3 linked regions of the Macaca fascicularis genome follow. The protein of the gene in region 1 interacts with the protein of each later gene in a biochemical or structural test. Links are inferred from orthologs where the notes say so. Each region holds a gene or a part of one and is shown in the gene's direction. Other genes may lie near its edges. The genes, in order: PML, MAPK7 and CHEK2.

Region 1 (3,746 bases):
GTTGGAACAGAGTACAGAATGGGTACACAGGAGCCAGCACAGTGGTTGCGATGGTTTAAGTTTGAAGCCAGGGGCACTGGCCCAGTGAGGTCACCTGGAGCTGTGCCCTTTCCCCCTCACCAGCTGGGAGTCTGGCATGCTTTTCCACTGGTGAAGACCTACCTGGCTCTCCCCTCTCCCTCTTCATACCCGCTCTCCAGCTCTCCCCCTCCCTCCTGCCCCCACCACCTCACATCCACCAGCCTTTCCAGCTGTCACTCAAGGCGTCACCCTGCTCCCTCACCTCCAGTCACTGGCTTCCCAGGATCTCTGACTCAAGACCCTCCTCTGCATCCCACAGCCACTGTCCTAGACAAGGGTATGTGCCCCTAGGTTGTTAGAGTGACCGTCCCATCATGCACAGCTGATCATGTTGTTTCCTGGTTCCAGATCCTTCACCAACTTCCCATCACTCCCAGAACTGGTCCAATCTCCTTAGTTAGGATCTTGTCCCAGCACACTTCTTGGGCATCATTTCTCATGAATTCCCTCTTAAATCTGAAAACGGCCAAAACTAGTTCCCAAACAGGCTTTCGTGTTTCAAACTTCCATGCCTTTTGCAAGAGCTATCTTTCGTGTTTCCAGTGTCCCCTGGACCCCACCACCTACAGCCCTGAATCCCTGGTGAATTCCCACTGCTTTTTCAGGTCCCAGCTGAGGGCTCTCCTTTCCAGAATGTCTCCGTTTGCAAGCTTGCTCTTCCATTACATCTGGGGCTCTTAAAAAGCAGGGGCTGCGTGTGGCTCATCTTTGTGCGCCCAGCTCCCGGCAGGAGGTGGCACGAAGCAGTGCCAGTGTGAACTGATGAATGGATCAAACCCGGGGGCGGGGCTGCCCCTCTGCAGCTCTGCCCTGCCTCTCCCGCTTTACCGTAAGCCAGCAGTAGGTCTGCGGCTCCCCGCCTCTCCTTCCTCCCCGCTCTGGGCGTGTCTTTAAAACCCACAGTCGGCCTCTCTGCCCCTAGAACCGCCCCCAGTTTGTGTCTCACTTCCTCTCCAGAGGCGGGCCCTGAGCTGGCACCTCCCCTTTCGGACAGCTCAAGGGGCTCAGCCAACTGGCTCACGCCTCCCCTTTAGTTTCTTTTCACGCCCTCCAAGATCTAAACCGAGAATCGAAACTAAGCTGAGGTCCATGGAGCCTGCACCCGCCCGATCTCCGAGGCCCCAGCAGGACCCCGCCCGGCCCCACGCGCCCACCATGCCTCCCCCCGAGACCCCCTCGGAAGGCCGTCAGCCCAGCCCCAGCCACAGCCCTACAGAGGTACTATTGGGTTAGGGGATGATGGGGTTAGGCTTTGTTGGTTTGCTGTGGTGGGGAGAGTGGGGAAGAGAGGGTCTAACGGAGGATTTGGTCAAGTACGCTAGAGAGTGACACAAAGCGGGAAGACCACACACCAGGGTCCTGACCTTCTTGGCTGGGGCATGGGAGGGTAGGATAGAGTAGAAAAGAGGACCCGGAGGAGTTGGGGCGGCCTCGCTGGGCTGCGGTTTCTCCACGGAGCAGTTGGGCAAGGTGAGAAGGGTCAGTGGCCTCCGGGCCTGGGCCCTTCCGCCCACCCTCGAGCCCTGGTCAACCCTGCCTCAGATGCAGGACCACAGATTAGGGAGGATGGAAGTGGTAGCCCTGTTGCGCTGGCCTGGAGCCAGGAGCATGTCCCAGGCACAGCAAAACTAAAACCAACTTCCCAGATCCGAGGTGAGAAACTGTGGCTCAGACTGAAGAGGTATCTTTGCCAAGGCCTCCCAGCTCATGTGGTTTCTGCTTAAGGAAGCCTCCCTAACAAACCCTTCTCTTGCCACACCTGTCCTGCCTACCTCCCACCTCCACCCCCAAAGGAACTACTTGGGTTTCTTGTTCTGCTGTCTTCCAGGCCCTTTTGCTCCCCTTCATGAAAGTACAGAGGACACTGTATTACAGTAACTTTTATAAGCATTATTACAACTAAGAATAACATTACTTAACAACACTAGCTAACATTTATGAGCACTTCAAATGTGCCAGGTACTGTATTAAGCACTTTGGTTTTTTGTTGTTTGTTTTGTTTTGTTTTTTGTTTGTTTGTTTATCTGTTTGTTTTTGAGATGGAGTCTTGCACTGTCGCCCAGGCTGGAGTGCAATGGTGCGATCTCTGCTCGCTGCAACCTCCTCCTCCCGGGTTGACGTGATTCTCCTGCCTCAGCCTTCTGAGTAGCTGGGATTACAGGCCACACCACTATACCTGGCTGATTTTTATATTTTTAGTAGAGATGGGGTTTCACTATGTTGGCCAGATTGGTCTCTAACTTCTGACCTCGTGATCTGCCCAACTCGGCCTCCCAAAGTGCTGGGATTACAGGCGTCAGCCACCATGCCCGGACTGCTTTTGTATTTTAAAAATTGTGGTAAAATATACGTAACGGATAAGCTCCTATGTTAACCATTTCTAAGTGTAACGTTCAGTGGCATTAAGTAGATTCACAATATTGTGTAACCATCACCACCATCTATTTTCAGAACTTTTTAATTGCTCCAGAAACTCTGTACCCTTTAAACCATAGGGGAGGGAAAGATGGCTTCCCTCCACCCTTCTAGTTTCCTTGGCTGGGCTATGAATTAAATAGTCATAAAATAGATTAACAGGGGGAAAACCCATATTTAATTACATATGTATACTCAGGAGTCCCACAAAGTATGAGACTCAAAGAAAGGTCAGATGATTGAAGCCTATATAACATCCTGATCCACAGAAAAGAGCTTGGAGCTTCTGGGTGGTGGTGATGACACAAGTTATGGGAGGGTGAGGAGAGGAGCTGTTGTCTTGCTATGTAGATAAAAAGTTCTTAGATAATAAGAGTTGTCTGGAGCAGCCCTCTTTTAATATAGACCATTTTACTAATGTAGATTTTCTTTGGGATGCAAATGCCTTTCTGTTTTACAAAAGGAGAGCTTTTCAGAGCTATTCCTGTATCAGCAGTTTCTCAGAATAACCAGCTTAAAATATGCCAACAAAGTATATTTCAAGGGTGGCATATTCTGGCCTCCTGCAGTCATATTTTGAAGTGGTGTGTCCTGAGTCTCAGTAAAGCAATAGCTCCTCATTTTCTCCTTCCCCTAGCCCTTGGTAACTTCTAATCTACCTTCTGTCCCTACGAGCTTACTTATTCTAGATATTTCATATAAGTGGAATTGTTACCAGTAGACGGTCTTGACCGCAAGTTGTTCAGGTTCTTGGCGTTTTGAACAAAGAATTGGACAAAATGCACAGCAAAGCAAGGAAAGAATGAAGCAATGAAAGCAGAGATTTATGGAAAATGAAAGTACACTCCACAGGGTGGGATGGGTTGGAGCAGGGCTCAAGGGCCCAAGTTACAGAATCTTCTGGGTTCCAAATATGCCCTAGAGGTTTCCCATTGGCCACTTGGTGTTCACCCCATTGGTTGTAGAAAGCAACCAATCAGAGGTGCTTTCAATTTTCCATCTGCCAGGCAGGAAATGGGGTGTTTTGCAAAGAGAGTAGCCTCTGGTCCTTTTGTTACTTGGGCGTGGAGAGTTCGGGTTTTCCTTTGGATTTAGTTCTAGGAAGTCAGAGGGAATCGGCCTTAGGTTCCCTGCCTCCAGACCCTATTCTCCTGCCTCAGAATCATACAGTATTTGACCTTTTGTGTGTGGCTTATTTCACTTAGCATAATGTCATTGAGGTCCATCTATGTTGTAGCATGATCAGAATT
Region 2 (3,746 bases), on another chromosome or scaffold:
AGTTCAGGCCACAGTGGGAGATGGGAGTTGGACATGCCTCATTATACCCCTCCAACATTAACATCAACACAGACCATAAGTCTGATAAGAAACATGTCTATTCTCTCTATAGCCGGCTACTGGTAGGCTTCAACTGCATAATAAAACGTAGGTCTCCCGGCCGGGCGCAGTGGCTCACGCCTGTAATCCTAGCACTTTGGGAGGCCAGTGGATCACTTGAGGTGAGGAGTTCAAGACCATCCTGGCCAACATGGTAAAACCCCGTCTCTACTAAAATACAAAAAAAAAAAAAAAAAAAAGAGCTGGGCTTGGTGGCTCACGCCTGTAATCCCAGCTGCTCTGGAGGCTGAGGCAGAAGAATTGCTTGAATCCAGGAGGGGGAGGTTGCAGCAAGCCAAGATCATTCCACTGCACTCCAGCCTGGGCAACAGAGCAAGACTCATTCTCAAAATAATAATAATATACTTAAAAAACCCAAAAAACCCTAGGTCTCCACAACCCCTTATCATAATCCAGATATTCCTTTCTATAGATAATAACTCTTGTAACCAACTGCCAATCAGGATATGTTTAAATCTACCTGTGACTTGGAAGCCCCTCCTCTTCCAGTTGTCCTGCCCTTTCAGAATAGACATTGAACAGACATTTCCCCAAAGGAGACAAATGGCCAATAAGCACATAAAATCAATGTCAATCTTGCACGTATTGATTTATGTATTATGTCTTCCTAAAATGTATAAAGGCTGGCTGTGCCCCATCTTGGGCACATGTTGTAGGACTTCTGGAGGCTATGTCACCACCATGTCCTTAACCTTGCTAAAATAAACTTTCTAAATTGACTTGAGACTTGTCTCAGATACTTGGTTCACATAAGTTTCTTTTAGGGGCGATGAAAATGTTCCATAAACCACTCTACCTAAAATTAGGTAGTGCTGATGGCTGCTCAACTGTGAATACACCAAAAAACACTCAATTGTACACTATATATGGTATGTTATTAAAAGTTGTTTAAAAGTGAGGGACCCCTCCAGTTATTGATACGGAATGATCTTCAGGAAAAGAGAATATGTTACATTTTGTACACGAAAGGGAAGGTGGGTACGAATATGTATTTGCATTGCTTTTTTCTATAAGCCGCCTAGGAGTGAAACCAAAATTCTTCACTTCTTTCAGCCCTACCCCGTTCCCTTTAAAAAACCTTTCCTTCCAGCTCACACTATCCACCATATCCATCTTCGCCTCCTGGCACTGAGCCTTAGAGGGGCGGTGCTCCAGAAACATTTGCTACATGAATGAACGAATCAACCATCGGATTTTGGGGTGGGTCGGCGCAGCTCGGTTCCAGCGAGGGCTCCGCCTACCAGCGGGCTCCGCAGAGGGACAGAGGCCGGGCGGCCGCCTCGGTTAACTCCGCTGCAGCCCAAAGCACGGGAATCGCGGGACAAACAAACGAGCGGAGGTAACACACCTGCAGGCCAGGAAACCCCCAGGTGCGGTCCCACTTGGCCGGAAGCTGCGGAGAGACTCAGCCACCGGAAGTCAGTGGAGGGTTCGGCCGGCCGCTCTAGAATCCTGGAGGACCGGGATCTCTGTGGTTGGCCGTGACGGGCACCCTCTACCGGGGATGACACATTCCCAGAGCTCCTGGGACCGAGAAAATGGTGGGCACAATTCCCGGGGCGGAGGGGGACTTCGGGACCCAGTAGCCAAGATAACAGTCCCAGTCCCGGGCATCTCAGTCCGGACAGTTGCCCGAGCTCATGGGACTAGCTGTGATTGGCCGGACGAGGTCGAGCGCTAGATGGGGACGCGCGCGCTACGTGCATGGGCGTTGCCTTCCATTCACTTGGCGCCCGACTGCCAGTGCGCATGCGTTTGAAGGCGGTGCCGGGCGGGGAGCACACCCCTGTGAAGTGCCGGGCACCCTTTGGGCGGCTCCCGCCGGCTAGCTGGACAGCGGCGCGCGCCAGGCGTGGCTTCCTCGGCCGGTGGGCTAGGATTGGGCGCAGCAGGTAGAAGGGGCAGGACCCTTCGCAGAAATAGCTCAGCGATTGGCCAGGAGCTGGAGGGAGCGTGGTGTTGGGAGGCGGGGCGGAGGGGGACGGACAGGGCAGCTCACGACGCTGAGGTGGTGGCCGCGGCCCTTGAATAAGTAAGTGAGCCACCCTCGGAGACTCCCGCGCTGGGGACGGGAGGCCGGTGAGCCTCGGGACCTCTGAAAGCCTTGAGGAGGCGCGGGGGTGAGTGCGGCCCGGGGGAAACCCAGGTGCCCCGCCCCTCCCTTTCTTCCTGGCCCGCGCCTCGCCTCCCCATCCCCCGACCCTGGCCTGGCCCCTGCTGGGCCCCGACCCCTGGGGTAGCGTGTTTTCCCCGAACCAACCGCGCGCTTCTGGCCCTTGTCGGTTTAGGGAACTGGGAAGTTCCCTGGTCCTGCTCCCCAGCCCGCAGAGGGGACGCTGAGGCCCACGGGAGGCGGTCCCCTCCTCACCCGAGTCTCCACGCAGACACCATGGCCGAGCCCCTGAAGGAGGAAGACGGCGAGGACGGCTCTGCGGAACCCCCCGGGCCCGTGAAGGCCGAACCCGCCCACACCGCTGCCTCTGTAGCGGCCAAGAACCTGGCCCTGCTTAAAGCCCGCTCCTTCGATGTGACCTTTGACGTGGGCGACGAGTACGAGATCATCGAGACCATAGGCAACGGGGCCTACGGAGTGGTGTCCTCCGCCCGCCGCCGCCTCACCGGTGAGCTTCCTGAGCCGTCGCCTCCCAGATGTGGCAGCGTCGCAGGGAGTGGGAAACCGGCCCGTCCCAGACAGCTGGGAAGGAAAGCGGGGTGCGAGTTCTGGCTCCAGTCAACACACGCTGACCAGGACCCTCTGCCTGCCAGGCTCCGGGGAGGCTCGGTTCTCTGAAACTCTGGCCTGGGGGTTTTGCCATCCTGCCTGCCTACTTCCTCCTTAGAAAAATGACAGTCCCAGTTAGACCAGAATGGAGAGCCATTCCTTCGTGTCTAAGAGACAAATGTGTTCTGGAGCCAGACACTGGCACAAGGAACTGGTGGTGGGATGGGTGAGGTCTGAGATGCAGAGGGTGTAGGCATTAGAGACTGAACTCCACCACTGGGCAGCCGTGCAACCTCCAACAAGTTACTAAGCCATATTTCCTTCTCTTTAACATTGACCTATTGGGACCTGCCCTGTAGGGGAGTTGTGAAGGTCACATTTAATAATGTAGGTAACATGCTTGGCACATAGTAGGTACCCAGTACTTGGTAGCTGTTGTCATTTGCATCCTAGAAGGGAGGTGTTGATAGGGGCTGGGTCGACTCTGCAGTTTCTCCAAGGTATCCTCTGGTGTGTCCCTGTTCCCTGCTCCTCAGGCCAGCAGGTGGCCATCAAGAAGATCCCTAATGCTTTTGATGTGGTGACCAATGCCAAGCGAACCCTCAGGGAGCTGAAGATCCTCAAGCACTTTAAGCACGACAACATCATCGCCATCAAGGACATCCTGAGGCCCACTGTGCCCTATGGCGAATTCAAATCTGTGTAAGAAGCGGGATGGGAGAGGGAGCCAGACTTGGGACTTTTCTGAAGGCTGCACTCATATTGCTGAAGTTCTGGAAGGGCAGCTGAATCTAATCTGAAGCAGGCTGGGAAAATTCCCGCAGTCCTAGGACCAGTTCTCCTTTAGAGTTTTGCCAGGGACAACTGTTATTCCTCAAGAAATGTACAGATGATTTTACAGTTT
Region 3 (3,728 bases), on another chromosome or scaffold:
CTTCTCCTTCCCTTTCCCGTAGGTACCGCCCCTCAAATCTCCCTCCCCTCTAGCCTCGGCCCCCCTATTTCCTCTAACTTCAGCGCCCGCCCCTCCAGTCCCGTTCGTCTCCCTTCTCCACACCTCAACGCTGCTTCCCTCAGTCCCCGCCTCTCAATTTCCTCCTGAGAAATCAAGACACTTCTCTCACGCCTGCTCTCTAGACCTCCGCCCCCCTATCGGTCCCGCCTTCTCTTCCGCAAGCCAGATCCGTCCTCCCCTCTCGCAGGCCAGACCCCGACGTCTCTCTCGCCCGGGCCCGTTTCCCGAAACAGTCGCTCGTACCAGTCCATAAGGCTGAAGTAGTCTCGAGTGGGGTCAGGTGCCTGCAGCGCTCTGCACTGTGGGCAGAAGAACCTGTCCTCCCGCCCGGGGCCCCATGGGCCGCCGCAGTTCCAACAGTGGGGAGAATTGCTTTCCGCCTGCGACGCAGCATCGCAGCTTAGCAGTCTCCTTCTGGGAACCCCTGTTGGCCAAAACCCCCACACCCGGAGCAAAGCCCCGACTCTCCCCCGCCACATCTCGCCGGCGGCCTAGCTAGCCGTGGTCACCCGTGGGGAAAAGCAAAGAGAGCGTCCAACCAGACTAATGCTGCTGATTGGCTGGGGAGTCGAGGGGGCGGGATCACCCGAGGGGAACCCGAGTTCTAAGTTCCGCTCTGCCTTCTAAACTACAACTCCCAGGAAGCATTGAGGCGATGCCTGACGGCCACATCTGCTGCTCCTCATTGGTCCGGCGGCAGGGGAGAGGGTTTTGATTGGCTGAGGGTGGAGTTTGTATCTGCAGGTTTAGCGCCACTGCAGGCTGAGGCTGTGGAGAGTGTGCGGCTCCAGGTGGGCTCACGCGGTGAGTCATATTGGGAACTTCTGTTGGGTGTTTGGTGGTTCGAATCCCATCTTCAGCGTTTCGTGCGAGCGGAGTCTCCTGAGCTTCGCTTTGTCTGTATTTTTGTACTGAAGGGGGAGTGTGTGGGCGACTCTCTTCCTTTTTAGTAGATCATCCTCGAGGTGAAGTTCACTTCCCGTATTACTTACAAGCTGAAACAGGCCTGAACGGACAGGATAAGAAGGAACAGAGTTGTGTTCTTCAATATCAGAGCGAAGTTACTTTGTAAAAAGTTCTATAGATGTTAGTAGTCATTGCCATTCTTTAGATTCAATCTCTAAAATACTTATAGAGAGGCCAGTCTTAGCTACTGGGCGCTGCAGGAACTGGAAACGCACTGAGCTGTGTAGGAGGATGTTCTGCGGGTCCCTAAGTAAGTCCCTAAGTAAGTGTATGGGATAGGGTGGCCAGGAGTGGGTAGGAGGGAATCAGTCCTCCTTCGGACTTAGGTTTTCTACTTGAAAAAAAAGATTGTGTTTCACTTGAAAGCCTTCTGGACTTTTTAAAAAAAATTATTTATTTTTGATATAAAGTATACATGTATGAGTACCACATATGTACCTTTTTTTTTTTTTTTTGAGACGGAGTCTCTCTCTGTTGCCAGGCTGGAGTGCAGTGGCGCGATCTGGGCTCACTGCAACTTCTGCCTCCTGGGTTCAAGCGGTTCTCCTGCCTCAGCCTCCTAAGTATCTAGGATTATAGGTGCCGGCCACCATGCCCGGCTAGTATTTTTAGTAGAGATGGGGTTTTACCATGTTGGCCAGGCTGGTCTTGAACTCCTGACCTCAGGTGATCCACCCGCCTTGGCCTCCCAAAGTGCTGGGATTACAGGTGTGAGCCACTGCACCCAGCCTAATTTCAGTTTTTTGAGGAATCACAATACTTTTGTGATTAGTGGCTATACTAATTTGCATTCCCACCAATGGTGTATGTGAACAGGGCAAGGTCAGACATAACTAGGTCCGTGAACATTTGTGTTTTTCCACAAGATCAGACTTATTGATGTTTTATTTTAATTGTAAAAGCCACGAGCTACATGGAGTTCCCAAGGAAGCAATTTTCTGTAGTACTACCTGTTTACTTGGTAGTCAGAACCGTGGGCACACAGGCTGAAGCCATTCCACAAGTCAGTCAGCATTGTAAATTATACACAATAGTATATTTATTTAATATATAAATGTTATAGGTTAAAAATCTTACATTAAAGTAACATTTAACATTCAGAGAAAAGGGGATAGGGAAAGCGGTTATCAAACCAGTCCAAGGAGAGCAATGTGGACAAAGAGAGTGTTTTGGCTTGATCTGGGGTGTCAGTGTCTTGTAAGGAAGAGTTTTTTGATGTGGATGAGCCTTTGGTGGCAGATGCTGGGTGTTAATCGTGAGTGACAGCAAGATGGTGTCTGTTAGGACAGCCATTCTGACCTAATAAAGTCCTGGTCTTATGACCACAAAATTTTCTGGTAAGGACTAATAACAAAAGCGTGTACATGTTTATGTCCTTATCTGGTTTAGTACCGTCTTTTTTTGTTTTTTTTTTTGAGACAGAGTCTCGCTTTGTCTCTCGCAGGCTAGAGTGCAGTGGCGTGATCTCGGATCACTGCAACTTCCGACTCCCTGGTTCAAGCGATTCTCCTGCCTCAGCCTCCCAAGTAGCTGGGATTACAGGCACGTGACACCACGCCCAGCTAAGTTTTGTATTTTTAGTAGAGTCGGGGTTTCACCATGATGGCCAGGATGGTCTTGATCTCCTGACTTTGTGATCCGTCTGCCTTGGCCTCCCAAAGTGCTGGGATTACAGGCGTGAACCACTGTGCCTGGCCAGTACAGTCTTTATTAATTAGACAAACATCTGGTCCCTATTGGCATAATGCCTTTTAAAATACAAGAGCCTTTTTCTAAGATAAAATTACTTATGTCAAGAGCACTCTGTACAGTTCCCCTTTCTCCACATTCTTCCCAGCATCTGTTATTGCCTGTCTTTTATTCAAACCATTTTAACTGGGGTGAGATGGTATCTCATTGTAGGTTTGTTTGTTTGTTTGTTTGTTTGTTTGAGACAGAGTCTTACTCTGTAGCCTAGGCTGGAATGCAGTGGTGCGATTTTGACTCACTGCATTCTCTGCCTCCCAGGTTCAAGCGATTCTCCTGCCTCAGCCTCCCAAGTAGCTGGGATTATAGACACCTGCCACCATGCCCAGCTAATTTTCATATTTTTAGTGGAGACAGGGTTTCACCATGTTGGCCAGGCTGGTCTCAAACTCCTGACCTCAAGTGATCTGCCCGCCTCCGCCTCCCAAAGTTCTGGGATTACAGGCATGAGATACTGTGCCCAGGCCTCACTGTAGTTTTGATTTGTTATTTCTCCAATGATCAGTGATGTTGAGCATTTTTTTATATACCCGTTGGCCATTTGTATGTCTTCTTTTGAGAAATGTCTGTTCGGATCTTTTGCCCATTTCTTTTTTTTGAGACAGAGTCTCACTCTGTCACCTAGCCTGGAGTGCAGTGGCGCGATCTCGGCTCACTGCAATCTCCGTCTCCGTTTCCTGGATTCAAGTGATTCTCATGTCTCAGCCTCCAAAGTAGCTGGGACTACAGGCACGAGCCACCACGCCCAGCTAATTTTTTGTATTTTTAGTAGAGATGTGGTTTCGCCATGTTGGCCAGGCTGGTCTTGAAGTCCTGACCTCAGATGATCCACCCTGCCTTGGCCTCCCAAAGTGCTGGGATTACAGATGTGAGGCACTGTGCCTGGCCTGCCCATTTCTTTTTTTTTTTTTTTTTTTGAGACGGAGTCTCGCTCT

What was found.
Region 2: the proteins of PML (region 1) and MAPK7 form a complex in vitro, tested with the Homo sapiens proteins (2 studies listed by BioGRID and IntAct, with this or other methods). The link is inferred for Macaca fascicularis from reciprocal best matches to the Homo sapiens genes PML and MAPK7.
Region 3: the proteins of PML (region 1) and CHEK2 form a complex in vitro, tested with the Homo sapiens proteins (2 studies listed by BioGRID, with this or other methods). The link is inferred for Macaca fascicularis from reciprocal best matches to the Homo sapiens genes PML and CHEK2.

The regions. Positions count from the first base shown.
Region 1 is NC_088381.1:50,917,996-50,921,741, forward strand, and holds the start of PML (protein PML), read left to right. Parts: upstream 1-1,140; 5' UTR 1,141-1,170; coding exon 1,171-1,299; intron 1,300-3,746.
Region 2 is NC_088390.1:19,123,376-19,127,121, forward strand, and holds the start of MAPK7 (mitogen-activated protein kinase 7), read left to right. Parts: upstream 1-1,348; 5' UTR 1,349-1,624; coding exon 1,625-1,661; intron 1,662-1,871; exon of another isoform or gene 1,872-2,012; intron 2,013-2,096; exon of another isoform or gene 2,097-2,240; intron 2,241-2,408; exon of another isoform or gene 2,409-2,504; coding exon 2,505-2,741; intron 2,742-3,378; coding exon 3,379-3,544; intron 3,545-3,746. UniProt on the Homo sapiens protein: Plays a role in various cellular processes such as proliferation, differentiation and cell survival. The upstream activator of MAPK7 is the MAPK kinase MAP2K5.
Region 3 is NC_088384.1:22,926,384-22,930,111, forward strand, and holds the start of CHEK2 (serine/threonine-protein kinase Chk2), read left to right. Parts: upstream 1-821; 5' UTR 822-872; exon of another isoform or gene 873-1,297; intron 1,298-3,728. Other genes in the region: iron-sulfur cluster co-chaperone protein HscB, read right to left, coding at 325-560. UniProt on the Homo sapiens protein: Serine/threonine-protein kinase which is required for checkpoint-mediated cell cycle arrest, activation of DNA repair and apoptosis in response to the presence of DNA double-strand breaks.